Linked DNA regions of Schizosaccharomyces pombe. The protein of the gene in region 2 interacts with the protein of the main gene of each other region in a pairwise test. Each region holds a gene or a part of one and is shown on either strand. Other genes may lie near its edges.

Region 1 (7,660 bases), on a different chromosome or scaffold from region 2:
GCTAGCTGGAGTACATTCAATAGCAGCTTAAATTAATTTTTGTAACGTTAATTAAATTAGCGATTTTTGCTCGTCAAGTAGATTCAAAAAATTTTTAAAAGTCAATTCAACATTTGCAACAGACATCAAGCAATAGCTGAATAGCAAATACTGAGAGATTTTGCTCGTAAATTGTTAAGTGCAGTATTGGAAAGTGTAGGATCAATATCTGCTAGTTTCAGATGAAATTCTAATTTACTATCATGCTTCATTCCTAAAGTGTCTTTTAATGTAGCAAAAACATTTTACTGGATTTACGTTTTGGACAAACGTTTTTTTTTGATAACAGCTTCTTTTCACAGCATGAAGACACACTTTTCGACATCAACAATACAACATACTCTGTGTATTCATTTCGTGCGTATCACTATATGTCCCATGTTTTATTTACTCTACCAACTTAACGTGATAAGTTTTCATGCTAGAGATTTTATTATATAATATGATAAGATAACTAGCTGTTACAATACTAGCAATTCATAGTGTAAACTGAGATGAACTGAATCTCGTTCTCCACTTTAGCTAAGGCTTTTTCAGTAAAGATAAAGCATACATTTCAAATATTAGAATACCTTTTATTCAGTTGCTACTGTGTTATTTACATATTGCAATATATAGATCACAAGGAAAACTTACCGTAGGTTCATGTATTGTTATAATATATACTGGTTAGCTACGCAGTTTGATATCTGTTTTAACGATATATAGAACTGCGGTGAGTTTTTACTTGCGATCTACAATGTAGCGGTATGCGGTATGTTAACTAACAATGTATATTTATTGTTATAAGAAGTCTGTTAGTATCGGTCACCGATATAGCTCATAACTGAATTGAGGAACGAGGTTCAGTTGTAGCTCTATTTATAATCTTTCTAATAGTTGTTATCAACGGATATCTATGATCTGATGTTGAACATGTGACATATAGTGATACGCAACGTAGTATGTCATATCGTAGTGCAGTATTGCTGACAATACCATATTATGTGGTTGACTTCTAAAGTAGTTTAGCAGATTGAAGTAAATATTCCAAATGTTGTATTATGGTACACCGTATTTCTTTCTGCATGTTGACAATGCTTCCTAATTCATCTGATAATTTTCCTATACAATATCTGATGTAGACATCGAATTTTGCTTGACGATACCCATGACAAAGACAAGAGCCTTCTTTCATAAACTTCTTAATTATTTGATTTGAGAGTTCAAAGTCTGCTCTAGCATTGCTTAATCAACGAGTAGCAACATCTATAGAATTTGAGATTCACAATTCAGTACTCAAAATATGCTCCAAAAGAGAAGGTAAAAACCAAACAGCAATAATAAAGAAGGAACCTACAAAACCCCGGATTCCCATGTTGTCTCCAACCATAGTACTAACGAGGCCCTCAGACGCTTAACTGCAGTGATCGGACGGGAACTGGTGTTTTCGCCTAGGTATGGCCGTAGACATCTAGTGAAGAATTTTTGAATATTTATACTACAAAAAAAAAGACCAATATAATTCTAAGTACTTTTAGGATCGCTGAGAATCCATCGCTTATTCCATAAATACAATAATGTAAGCAAGCAATGTGTTTTAATCCAATGACATTTACTATCACAGATCATCTTGAAAGCTGAATGATTGTCTACCTTTTTAAGTTTGACATTTTCAATTCATTACAAATTACAATAAAATCAAAACGCTTGTATTGTGTGTGCATGCACCTTGTTACAAGTGAGCGAGCTAAATTAGCTACAGTGAAGATGAGTACTCGTTCTTATACGATTAAAACACTATGTCTTGAACCAAATCCATTAACATATAATTAACTCAATTTAAACGAAAGTGGCCAACTAGTTGAAAGTCAGCAAATAATAACTATCGTGAAAAGCATCAAATAACACTAAGCCTATCGGTAAAAGAAACATTAACATGTCGGTATGCAAAAAAATTTTTGGCTTAGTGTATTTTCCGCTTCGAGATGCAGTCATAAACACAAAGGTTGAATTTGTGCCTACCCAGTCCAAAAAAAAATACATATCCGTTGAACCAGGACTTAACATATAAAACCATATATCTTTCACAATTGAAGAACAAAGAAGCAAACATAGAATAAATAAAGACAACTCTAAAATCTTTTCATCTTTAAAGAAAACCATGTATCCATAAAGCCATCAACTGAGAATTCGTTACATGTTCTAATCGTATTTAACGTAACAAACGAGAAAAGCTAATGATAGCACTAAGCTATCTGTCTAAAACTTAAGCTCCTTAGGTTGTTCCCAAGGCTTGGATTGATCAGTGAAGTGACCGTAAGAAGCGGTGGAAAGATAGAAAGGAGTTTGAAGCTTAAGGCTTTTGACCAAAACACCAGGACGAAGGTCAAAGTTCTTGCGGATAATTTCAACAAGCTCAGCAGATGTCTTGGAAGAAGTGCCGTAAGTATTGACAAAAATAGAAAGGGGCTCAGCAACACCAATAGCATAGGAGAGTTGGACAAGGCAGCGGCGAGCCAAACCAGCAGCAACCAAAGATTTGGCAATCCAACGAGCAGCATAGGCGGCAGAACGATCGACCTTGGAGTAGTCTTTACCAGAGAAGGCACCACCACCGTGAGCACCCCAGCCACCATAGGTATCAACAATAATCTTACGACCAGTGAGACCAGCATCACCTTGAGGACCACCAACAACGAAACGACCAGAAGGTTGGATGTGGTAAACAGTCTTCTCATCTAACAAATGAGCAGGGACAGTAGGCTTAATGATCTTCTCCAAAATTTCAGAACGCAAGTCTTCAGTAGAGATGCTATCAGCGTGTTGAGCAGAGACGACGATGGTATCTACACGACGGGGGATGACAGCACCGTTTTCCTCTTCATATTCAATAGTGACTTGAGTCTTGGTATCAGGACGCAACCATGGAAGAGATCCATCACGACGAGCGACAGACATGGCAGCATTGAGTTTGTGAGCAAGGAGAATGGTCAAAGGTAACTTCTCGGGGGTCTCATCAGTTGCATAGCCAAACATAATACCCTGGTCACCAGCACCGAGCTCTTCCAAAGCCTTCTCATAGTGAAGACCTTGAGCGATATCAGGAGATTGTTGCTCGATGGCGACGAGGACGTTGCAAGTCTTGTAATCGAAACCCTTCTCAGAGTCATCATAACCGATGCTCTTAATGGTATTACGAATAACCTTTTGGTAGTCAATTTGTGAGCGAGTAGTAATTTCACCAAAAACCATTACCATACCGGTTTTGGAAGCGGTCTCACATGCTACCTTGGAAAAGGGGTCATCCTTCAAACAAGCATCCAAAATAGCGTCAGATATTTGGTCGCAAATTTTGTCAGGATGACCTTCACCGACAGATTCAGAAGTAAACAAAAAAGTTTGAGCCATTGGGGAATCCAAGATACTTGTAAAGGAAATATGGAATCAAAAAACTAGAAAAGATTGAACAATAAGACAAGCGATTAGTTTCGTCAAATATAAGGAAACAATGAAAACCCTTCTTTATCAATGAATCTAATAAATGTAGATATGCTTGCGAATTTCGTCAAAAGAAGCTCTCAAGGTTTCGTAAAGCAAGTAAGGTTATTCTTTAGCCTTATATGCTGATTATAGTTGTGACTGCTTATCAGGATGGTAGCGCCATTTTTTCAATTTCTTGAGCAATTTTAGAATAGTGATATCTGGTAGAGACAAATTGTTCTGCGCAATTGTTATTTAAAAGCAGGGGTAATAGTATGTTAAATTTTTTATAGTGCTAGACTGTAATGAATTAAAAAAATAAGGAAAGCACGAAAAAGTGTATTTCGTATTTTGATAAATCGCTGTATTTTCAATTTGAAGTAAAAGTAGAAGGGTCTTTGACTGTCAATTTATTTTTACAATTATGTTTACGATTGATGAACTATATACTGCAAATTTAGTAGATATTTAAAGAAGCTTGAATATATAATAAACCCAGCTGTCCCCTTAGATATTGGCTGGACTTGGGCATTGAGTGTGCTAATGCAATGTGCATCTTATAAGTATTTATGCAGATTGAAGGATGTTTTTCTTTTCTTCATTCTTATGTTTTTTAATTGCAAAAACTGGCTCTTCCAAACTTTCATATCTTTGACCAATTATTTGGTCTGCAATTAAATGGGCAATGACTTAGCGCTAGGTCCGTATTGGCAATAAAAAATTTTCGTAATGACGATTTAAGAAAATACATCTTTCTACAGTCTCAGAAACTTGAATTTATCTTTTTTATTTATTTTATTCGAAATGTAATGTAGCATTTTTATAAACTGTAGTAGGTTGACTGGTAGTACAAGCAAAAAATTGGGCGCACCTTAAGTTGTCCTTTGCCAACTGCACCCTACTCAACACCATGAGCGAAAGTCTTACTAGAATCGCCATTGTTAGTGAGGATAAGTGTAGACCAAAGGTAAGAAAATAAAAAAATTAAAGGAGCTTTATTAGTAGAAGGTTATAGTCTACTCGTTGTGGATGACTGGAGCTTTTTTGTGTGTGCACAAAGTTTTCCACGAAAAGAGTTGAGTCAAATTTTGTTTGTTCAAGTATTAAAACATATTTTAACTGCCCTGATTGTACCTCTGTTCAGATTTTTTGATCCTGTTACGATCTGCCAAGCACTTTCGGACTAGTAGTAAATTTTTGCTTGGCTTGGCTGTCACCATATGTTGGTTAAACGAATCTAAAGGTTCTTGTAAGGTAAAGGACCGAAAATTTAAATAAACTTTCAAAGTGGTCTGTGTCACGTTAAAATACGTTTTATTGCTTGCTTACGAAACTTTCCTTTGCTTTTAATGCTTCTGGTTTTAGAATGTTTGGTTTTTATTAGTTTGCTCACCAATATTTTAGAAATGTCGGCAAGAATGCCGCCGGTCTTGCCCTGTCGTGCGCACCGGTAAATTGTGTATTGAAGTTAATCCTACCGATCGCATTGCATTTATTAGTGAAACATTATGTATTGGTTGTGGTATCTGTGTCAAAAAATGTCCATTCGGAGCTATCAACATTATTAATTTGCCCACTAACTTGGAAAGTGAAGTAACCCATCGTTACTCTGCTAATTCTTTCAAGCTTCATCGTTTGCCTACTCCTCGTCCTGGTCAAGTTTTGGGCTTAGTTGGTACTAACGGTATTGGAAAGTCTACTGCGTTAAAGATCCTATCCGGAAAAATGAAGCCTAATTTAGGTCGTTATGATAATCCTCCTGACTGGGCTGAAGTTGTCAAATACTTCCGTGGTAGTGAACTTCAAAACTTTTTCACCAAAGTTGTTGAAGATAACATTAAGGCTCTTATCAAACCTCAATACGTTGATCATATCCCACGGGCGATTAAAACTGGTGACAAAACTGTATCTGGTTTAATTAAAGCTCGTGCAAACAACAATAATTTTGAAGAAGTTATGGATCACACCGATCTTCAAAATCTTTTAAATCGTGAGGTTGGCCATCTTTCTGGTGGTGAGCTTCAACGATTTGCTATTGCTGCCGTAGCCACTCAAAAAGCTGACGTTTACATGTTTGACGAGCCTTCGTCTTATTTGGATATTAAACAACGTCTCAAAGCTGGTCGTGTAATCCGCAGCTTGTTGGCTACTACCAACTATGTGATTGTTGTTGAACACGATCTTTCCGTCCTTGATTATCTCTCCGATTTCGTTTGTGTATTATACGGCGTCCCCTCTATGTATGGTGTTGTCACTCTCCCCTATTCTGTTCGTGAAGGTATTAATATTTTCCTTGACGGTCATATTCCTACCGAGAATTTGAGATTCCGTTCTGAGGCATTGACATTCCGTCTTGCTGACGCATCTGATGAAATTACCGCTGACAGAACTGCGGAGTACAATTATCCCGATCATGTCATTGAGCAAGGTGATTTCAAGCTTACAATTAAGTCTGGTGGTTTTTCTGATGCTGAGATTATTGTATTGCTTGGTGAGAATGGTACTGGTAAAACTACATTCTGCAAGTGGATGGCTAAGAACTCGGATTTGAAGATTAGCATGAAGCCCCAAACAATCGCACCTAAATTTCAAGGTACCGTTCGTATGCTGTTTTTGAAAAAGATTCGTGCTGCTTTCTTGAATGGCAAGTTTCAGAGTGAAGTTTGCAAGCCTCTTAGCATTGACAACATCATTGATCAAGAGGTATTGAACTTGTCTGGTGGTGAATTGCAACGTGTTGCCATTTGCTTAGCTTTGGGTATGCCTGCTGATGTGTACTTAATTGACGAGCCTTCTGCTTATCTTGATTCAGAGCAGCGTATTATTGCTTCCAAGGTTATTAGGAGATTTATTGTCAACTCACGCAAGACTGCTTTTATCGTTGAACACGATTTTATCATGGCTACTTATTTGGCTGACCGTGTCATCCTTTTCGAGGGACAACCTTCTCGTGATGCTAGATGTAATCCTCCTCAATCACTTCTTACTGGTATGAACACTTTCTTGAAGAACTTGGATGTTACATTCCGTCGTGATCCTAATACCTTGAGACCACGTATCAACAAGTTCGACAGTCAAATGGATCAAGAGCAAAAGAATGCAGGAAATTATTTTTTCCTTGAAAATTAATGTTTAATGGCTATACTGGGGTTCTATTATGTTTACTTGCCTTGTTTCCATAATTGTATACTCAAAATTGGTTTTGGTTGTAAAAAAGCTTTGTTTGGAGGCGGCCTTCTTTGAGAAAAAAAGTTCTTGTCTATTTCATATAATTATGCTTAAGGTAATTGGGCACTTGTTTTAGAATTTATTTGGTATTTGGGAATTGTTGTATGAAATATTAGTTGAAATACAATAAATTCTCAGAGTGTGAACGTCTCTTTAATTTACACTATATATAATTGTTTGTGTTTTAAGCTAATTTCAACTTGGTCGTATAAATTCTCACGTTTTGAAAAGTATGTGTAAGATTTAACGAGAACAAATTCCCTTGAATGTATTGTAAAGCTATATTTGATAATGTGGCGTTGAGTTCTATATAAGCTAGTTTTCCGTGTTTTCTAAATAATAAAACAAATTGGAGTGTTTTTTTCAAAACATCCATTGTTAGACCTCCTGGTTATGTTATTTTCACCATTTTCTAACATACTTGAAATTTCATGAAAAGTATCAACGTTACTTCTCGTTAAGCTGGGACGAGTTTTGCCATACAAGAAGACAACTAGTTGCCAACACCTAAACATAAGCCCTTAGAGTAATCAAAGGCAAAGTGGTAATAGTCGTCGCCTTGAGGAATTCCTTCAGCGTATTTACTGTCCACTTGACTTGAATGCAATACAATGAACGCAGATGATGAAATTTGCCGGGTGTGCCGGTGTGAGGGAGCACCAGATTCACCTCTCTTCCATCCATGGTAAGAATTCATTGATAAATTTTTATGCAATTTAAAATAATAACACGAATTTAGTAAATGTACTGGAAGTATCAGATATGTTCATCAGGAATGGTAAGTTTTTACTGATGAGATTGAGTCAGATGTTTAAAGAAATTATAATCACTAATATATTTTAGTCTAGTAGAGTGGTTAGGTCACAGTAAAAAAACACATTGTGAACTTTGCAAAGCTAAGTTTGAGTTTACAAAAGGTAATATTACTATG
Region 2 (7,520 bases):
CTTTTACAGCTTTAGAATAATTATGTACTACCTTATACGATACAATGCATTTTTAAGGCAACGTAAGGATACATCAATACAATACTTTAAAAGTCTTGTGAATATATCGTTCAAATTGCTACTACTTTCCTACAAAGCGCTGGCGAAAGAAATCTCACGATTTTTGTATGGGGTTTTAAACAATTATTCTGGTCAACTTATTTGACCTATGCCAACATGATTGAGAAGATAAAAGTACACTCATAGCCTACTAGGAAGGTTTCTTCTTTTGGATTTTTGCTGTTACATATGACGCATGTTACTTGTTTCCTTAGGTTGATGGCAAAAGTTTTCTAACTTGGGCTATATCCTTCTTTGAACCAAGAAGGGATCGGTAGACGGAAAGTTTTTTGGTCCGTTGAAATCAAAACCTACCGATAATGCGAGGACCTTAAAGCCGTGTAACTACTAAAACAAAGATTTAAATTAGTGAATGTGATGTTTCTTACATTACTTTGTGCTCCAAAAATAAATTTGACCAAAATCTATTTTATGTACCAATACTGCCATTGGTAAACTTCTAAGCCATTTGAAAAATCCGCTATATTAAATTTGGTGCTGCAAATGTGAAGCTACAATACGCAACTTCGGATTCTTTAAATTTAGGTCATAAAGCAATATTGCCTTTCATGAAAGTAAGGTTAATGTTGGAAAACTGATTTAAATCACATAACCTTATTGTATTGGTTGGTTATATCCGATTTCTTGCAGAAGTACATTCTGTGTTTTTGAACGTTTTTTGTACCGTGAAAGAATTAATCAAAATTACTTTGGAGTTTCGATTGATTGTTATGGGTTTACCTGGACTTTTTAAGATTCTCTCTGCATTGTTTATCATATAATGAGTATTTAGCGTAATGTTTATATCATCGTTGTAAGCGGCATTGCCGGCTCGGTTAGGTTTAATCCTAAAGTTATTTCTCTAACGGAAGCAATATAAAAACAACGGAATTAGCCATGCTTTCTTTCAACATTTGAGTGCAAGTTTTTAAGTTTTGAGTGAAAACAACACTTATGAAGGGTTTTGTTGTCATTTCCCGATTCATTTTGACACTTTTCATACTTATCACTCCCGGTTTGGCCGGTGTAGTCAATTATGCAGAAAATAGTGAATGGAATGTTCCTAAGTACGGAAACGTCTTAGATTCTAACTGTCAAGGGCAGAAACCTGTTACATTTTTTGGATCTGTAACTGAACATGTTTCAAATTCCTGGTGGATTAAACTTTACGATTATATGAGTACGTTGATGATACATCCATTCCAATTGGCTAATTATATTTAGTGACTTTTATTAGTGGTGAAAAGTTGTGCATGCAGAATGTTGCGTACGAATTTGAAGATATTTCTTTATGTATGGATGTAGTAGGCAGTAAATGCATTCCAACTTTGCAATCAACGGATATTGAGAAAGTTGTCAATTCAACATCTGCTTACTTAGAAAATTCCGAGTCCGACTTAACTTTGGGATGTTTTCAAATCCAAAGATTTCAGGAAGAAAGCACATTGTATATCAGGGCCCTCAAATCATCTGAACCCGTTTCATGCGACACAGTGCGTTGCATTCATTTCAACCATATTCCTTACGTATAGAATGATCTTTTGACATGCTTTTTACTTACAACTACAACGGTTCAATGAATTGAGAAGTTTTTTTTTTTGAATAGGCATACCGCAAAGATTAATGAGTCCGTTTTCATCGATTTATGTTGTCTTTTATAGAGTTGTATTCACAAAATTTTCTGAACAAATTTGGATTGTTGTTGTGTTGCAGCAGCTAGTTCATTTGGTCAACAAGACTGCAAGGATATTTTAAATTAGACTCAGAAACTAGAGATAATTTGTTTACCTTGTTGTGAGCTTGGGAGATCAAGCTTTTTGCTGTGTTTTATGATATTATTTATCCCGTTAATTTTTACTTACGTTTCTGAATGGAATGTGAAAGCCTTTTTATTATATAAGTTTGAATTGCTTTAGTATACAGGCTTCAAAAAAATTTTTATGTGATTCTCGAATCAGTATATTGTAATTGGTGTATTTCGTAATTTATTGGCATAATAAGATCTTGCAAATTGTCCAGATGTGTTTTAAAATCTTGTTATTAGCATGTATGCTGTTTAAACCGCAATTTAAACAATGTGTTGAAACGCTCTATTGCTCTTCTCGCTTAATACAAGATATTTATGTGCTTGTGAATTTAGAATGAGTAATTGCTATTACAAACTTAGGAAATGTAAGTCTGTTCACTTAGTCGAAATACTTAAGTGTATTCTAACTAGTACAGGAAGTGAGAAATCCAAACTATTGTTGACATGTTTGTTGCCCAAAAATTCTACAGAACATGCTAATGCGACTATAAAGACAATATAGAGAAATCCGTAAAACTATATTAAAAAGGTTACTTGTCCATTCAGCTCATTGAAAGTCAATTAAAACTGTTTTATTTAATAGCTTTTCGATACGTAGTTTCCTTACAATTAATAAGCTATCAACTATTTTTATCAAAACAACATAAACAAATTTTTAAAACTGGGATTAAAAACAATCTTAGTTGAGTTTAGCATAAAATCTTAAAGTGTAAACATTTACGTTTATTCTTTAGGCAAACCGCAATTGATTAATCTGAGCCAAATCTTAAAAATTGTATTAGAAACAGCGGTTCCTAATTTGAAATAAAAACATTACTATGATGGGCTTTATGTAAACATTGGAAGAAAACGAGAGGATATAAAATTGTGCAGAGTACTTTTAGCTCCAAAACACGTTCGAGGTTTTAAACGAATTGCTATCAAATAATTTAAAATCTATCAATCTGCAGAAGCGAAATGCAGAGAGGCTGAGTTGTTATTTTCGACTGAATTTACTTATTGCGTGACAAACTCGCTTCTTTATTTACTAACAGCAACTAACACAATGACCAAGAACAAAAAATATTCATATGGAACTGCTGGTTTTCGAACAAAGTAAGTTAATATAATGCAGCTTTCATTAACTTGATCAAAGAGCTAGTGATTTGGAAGCAGCTGTTTATAGTTCTGGAGTTGCAGCAGCTTTGCGTAGCATGGAGCTAAAAGGGAAAACTATTGGCGGTATGTGTAGTCAAGTAGAAATATTTGATTAATAATAATAAATAGTAATGATTACTGCTTCTCATAATCCTGTGGAAGATAATGGTGTGAAGATCATTGACGCCGATGGCGGTATGCTCGCTATGGAATGGGAGGATAAATGCACACAACTTGCGAACGCCCCTTCCAAGGCAGAATTTGATTTTTTAATCAAGCAATTTTTGACTCCTACTACCTGCCAGCCCAAAGTTATTATAGGTTATGATACCAGACCCTCCTCACCCAGACTCGCTGAGTTACTGAAGGTATGCTTGGATGAAATGTCTGCAAGCTACATAGATTATGGGTATATTACAACACCACAGTTGCATTGGCTGGTGAGGTTGATAAACAAATCTACCGCAGCTTCTTTTCTTGAAGAAGGGCCACCCATTACTGAGTATTATGATACATTAACGTCAGCCTTTTCTAAAATAGATCCTTCAATGCAGGATAGCCCTACGGTTTCTCGCGTTGTAGTAGACTGTGCAAATGGTGTAGGATCGCAACCCTTAAAAACAGTAGCGGGCCTTGTTAAGGACAGCCTTTCTATAGAACTCGTTAACACAGATGTTCGGGCCAGTGAGTTACTTAACAATGGCTGTGGAGCAGACTTTGTAAAGACGAAACAGTCCCCTCCGCTTGCCCTTGAAGGAAAAATTAAGCCAAATCAACTCTACGCTTCCATTGATGGTGATGCCGATCGACTGATCTTCTATTACATAAATCAAAATAGGAAATTTCATCTTCTTGATGGAGACAAAATTAGTACTGCTCTCGTTGGCTACTTGAACATATTGGTTAAAAAGTCCGGTATGCCTTTTTCTTTAGGCGTTGTCCAAACCGCGTACGCCAATGGCGCTTCAACTGAGTATCTTCAAGATTTGGGCATTACTACTGTCTTCACTCCCACTGGTGTTAAACATCTTCATAAAGCAGCCAAAGAGTTTGATATTGGTGTCTACTTCGAGGCAAATGGCCATGGTACTGTTTTGTTCAGCGACAAGGCGCTTGCTAACTTAGCACATCCTTTCTTTACACCTTCACCAGTTCAAGCGGCTGCTATAGAGCAATTACAAAGCTATTCCGTTTTGATCAACCAAGCTATAGGTGATGCAATTAGTGATCTTCTTGCTACGATTTCGGTACTTAATGCATTACATTGGGATGCTAGTGCATGGAGCAATACTTATAAGGACTTGCCTAACAAACTAGCTAAGGTTAAAGTTTCCGATCGCACAATATATAAAAGTACAGATGCTGAACGAAGACTTGTGAGCCCAGATGGATTACAAGAGAAAATTGACGCACTTGTTGCAAAGTACGAAAAGGGAAGATCATTTGTTAGAGCATCTGGAACAGAAGACGTTGTACGAGTTTACGCTGAGGCCAGCACAAAACAAGCGGCAGATGAACTTTGTGAAAAAGTTTGTCAGCTAGTATTATAATTGTTAAATTTCCTTTTCGAAATTACTACTCATTTGTTTACGACATAATCAAAAAATTTATCGCTTGACGTTATGTTTAAAATAATAAAAACATTGAGTGATGCTTTAAAACCGTGCTTTATTCTATCTAATTATAGAGCCATGTGATGCTTAAAAGTAATAATCACAAGTAAGCAAAATTGCAAAGAACTGATGAAAATGTTAGTAAAATTTTAATTTATAAAATTAAAAATAATATTCGTTTTTTGAACAATTTTTACTTTCAGAAATAAAGGGTCTGTTCCTCTTCACTGACAAATAAATGTCTGAGAGTGGTGCATGAGACAGTGTATCATCATTAAAGTAAAATTAAACTTTTTCTTTTTACTTACCAAAACTAATAAGTTGACGGTTTAAACATATTTGGAGTTTGGTTAATTTACTGTAATGGTTTTCAGTTTACAAATAAATAGGTCTGCACGTGACTGTCTTTCTAAAGCCGACGGTCATTTTGCTATTGCAATTTTTGTCATGCAAATATACAATAAAGTATATAATCGTTTAAGTTTTTAATTGATTTAAACTGATATATCATTAGACATTTAGTGGAAGATATCTAGTGAAAGTCATTAAAGCGTTAATAAGTAATGTAGGGAAGAAGTGTAGAAACATTATAAGCAAACACTCTTGTCATAACAGATTTAACTTATTCCAAAAGAAATTTAACAATTGATACCGCGAGGAAGTCATTGTCGGCTGGATTTTCTGAGCGTTTCAATGCTTCTTCTTTTTGCTGTTCGGTAAATACTTCAGTTCCGCGGAGAACTTTTACCATCGTATTGACAACTTCTGTGCTAAACTCTGGATGTCCTTGAAATGTTAGTGCCTGTCGAGGCTTGTAAAATATTTGAAATTCACAATCTTCAGTAGAACCCAATAGCTCAAACCCTTCGGGAACATCAACTGCCATGTCTTGATGCATTTGGTTAATATTGATGACTTTTCTACCAAAGAACTTCTCCCCGTTTTCAGTAAGTTGAACAACAGTAGAAGAAACTTCCCATCCTTTAGGATTTTGAATAATAGGAACGCCGGCAGCTTTGGCAACGATTTGATGACCAAAACAGAGACCTACAATTTTAATATGTGGGTATTTAAATAAAACGTCTTTCACAAAGCTTATCAATTTCTTTATCCAAGGAGCGTCGCTTGTTGCAGATGCTTTGGAGCCGGTTATAATGATTGCGTTTATATTTGGAAAATCTTCTTTTTGAGGATAATCGTTTGGATTCTTATATACCTCGTAAGTTTTGGTAACTAAGTTCCATTCTGTAGAATAATATTCGGAACCTGATTGAAGCAACGATTTAACCATATCTGCATAATCACCGTATGCGCTGGTGATTTCTACCATTGGTGTATCTGCGTTCAGAATCGCAATATGATAATCCATTTTCAAATTAAAATCTTTTTAGTTGATAAATAAAAGCCTTGGAAAAAATATGAACTAGACGGGTAGTATATATATGTAGGAATTTTGCGAGTTCTAACCGCTATAATTACGTTATGTCCTCATGTGTGTAGCATGAATGAACAAACGGGATAAATGGTCAAGCAATTGACGACAGGCGTTAAGCTAGTATTTCACATTCACTGAAGAATCTAGATAAACCATTTCGTAAACTACTGTTTTTGTCAACGTTACGTAACATATTATAATCGTTTGGATCACAAAAACCTTTAGTACCACTTCAATTAAGAAGAAAATTATTTGCCTTCGACTTTTTCGGTTATTTTCTTACTTAGTATAATAAGGTTTTTGCTAAGGTGATGACAGAGAGAACGATTTGCAAAAAGTTTGAATATAAGATATTTTTAGTAAGTTTAATCCATTTCAATTAGTTGAATAAATTGATGTTGAAGAAGGTGATGGAACAGGTGTTCAGATTTATGTATCGCATGATTGTTCATGAAAATGACTTAATGTCCTCTAAATATTGATAGTAATAGTTCACCACTTTAGGAAATAATGAACAAGGAGTTTTGTATTTCATAGGGATTAATCTTCAATTGTTTTAACTCAAACATAGTCATACACGTTGACATTTTTTATGCGCCTAAAATTTTCTACCATATCATACAGGTATCGGTAATTGCTCTAAGTCGAAATGCTCGTTCACATCACGCTTTGATGTCATGTGAATGAAAACGAGTAAAAAAGATTCTTAAGATGTAGAATTTATTAATTCGAATTAGAAAGATGACTAATCCCACCATGGAGATTGCTCCAAACTTTCACTATTCAGGAAAGCAAACCTAACATTTTCCTGTTTGCCCAGTTTTTCCTTATTATTTTCAGAGCCAAAGAGGTCGATTAACGAGTTTTCTATTGGGCATAGATAATTGTCTTCTTGAACTTGAATATGTTCATTATGATATATATTGCACTCCTCTGGTGCTGGAAGGAAAAGAGATAGCTCCGTATCTTTTTTGGAATTTCGGTATTTTAGATATCGCAGAAAATTTAATAAAGCACATAAAAATGCTGTCAGATAGAAAGTACGGATATTTAATTTAATAAACGAGAGAGTTCGCGCAATAGTGCAAGTGATCCATCCGTAAAGATTCACCCATGAGGTAATCTTAAAGCAGTAAATATGAATAAAGATTATTGATAAGGAGCCGAATACAATAATCGGTCGGCGATGTATTTTTAAAACTTTGAAAAATAAACTGCTTAAGGTAGCGAACAGCGTGAAGCCTATAAAAGCAAAACTGCTAATAATGTTGGACAATCCTTTAAAATATACATTCATAAACTTCTCAACAATGTCAATAAGAGGCCTTAACTGTTGAAGTACCTTAAGGTGATCTTTACTGACATTTAAGAAGTCTGACTTCCATTGAAGTATCTGTTCGTGTTGCAAATTCTATACAGTACTGTTAGA

What was found. Proteins that work in one complex are often made in the same cells at the same time.
Region 1: the proteins of SPOM_SPAC13C5.05C (region 2) and sam1 interact in a two-hybrid assay, tested with the Schizosaccharomyces pombe proteins (one large-scale study listed by BioGRID).

What each region holds. Positions count from the first base shown.
Region 1 is NC_003423.3:4,160,248-4,167,907, forward strand, and holds sam1 (S-adenosylmethionine synthetase), read right to left. Parts: upstream 3,612-7,660; 5' UTR 3,430-3,611; coding exon 2,281-3,429; 3' UTR 1,822-2,280; downstream 1-1,821. Other genes in the region: Fe-sulfur ATPase Rli1, read left to right, coding at 4,412-4,468, 4,906-6,630; ubiquitin ligase Doa10, read left to right, coding at 7,341-7,414, 7,469-7,507, 7,573-7,646. UniProt on the Schizosaccharomyces pombe protein: Catalyzes the formation of S-adenosylmethionine from methionine and ATP. The reaction comprises two steps that are both catalyzed by the same enzyme: formation of S-adenosylmethionine (AdoMet) and triphosphate, and subsequent hydrolysis of the triphosphate.
Region 2 is NC_003424.3:428,635-436,154, reverse strand, and holds SPOM_SPAC13C5.05C (N-acetylglucosamine-phosphate mutase), read left to right. Parts: upstream 1-2,935; 5' UTR 2,936-2,951; coding exon 2,952-3,001; exon of another isoform or gene 3,002-3,041; coding exon 3,042-3,127; exon of another isoform or gene 3,128-3,172; coding exon 3,173-4,593; 3' UTR 4,594-4,788; downstream 4,789-7,520. Other genes in the region: protein mug121, read left to right, coding at 1,054-1,279, 1,324-1,631; SPOM_SPAC13C5.04 (amidotransferase), read right to left, coding at 5,279-6,025; nuclear membrane protein Tht1, read right to left, coding at 6,837-7,502. UniProt on the Schizosaccharomyces pombe protein: Catalyzes the conversion of GlcNAc-6-P into GlcNAc-1-P during the synthesis of uridine diphosphate/UDP-GlcNAc, which is a biosynthetic precursor of chitin and also supplies the amino sugars for N-linked oligosaccharides of glycoproteins.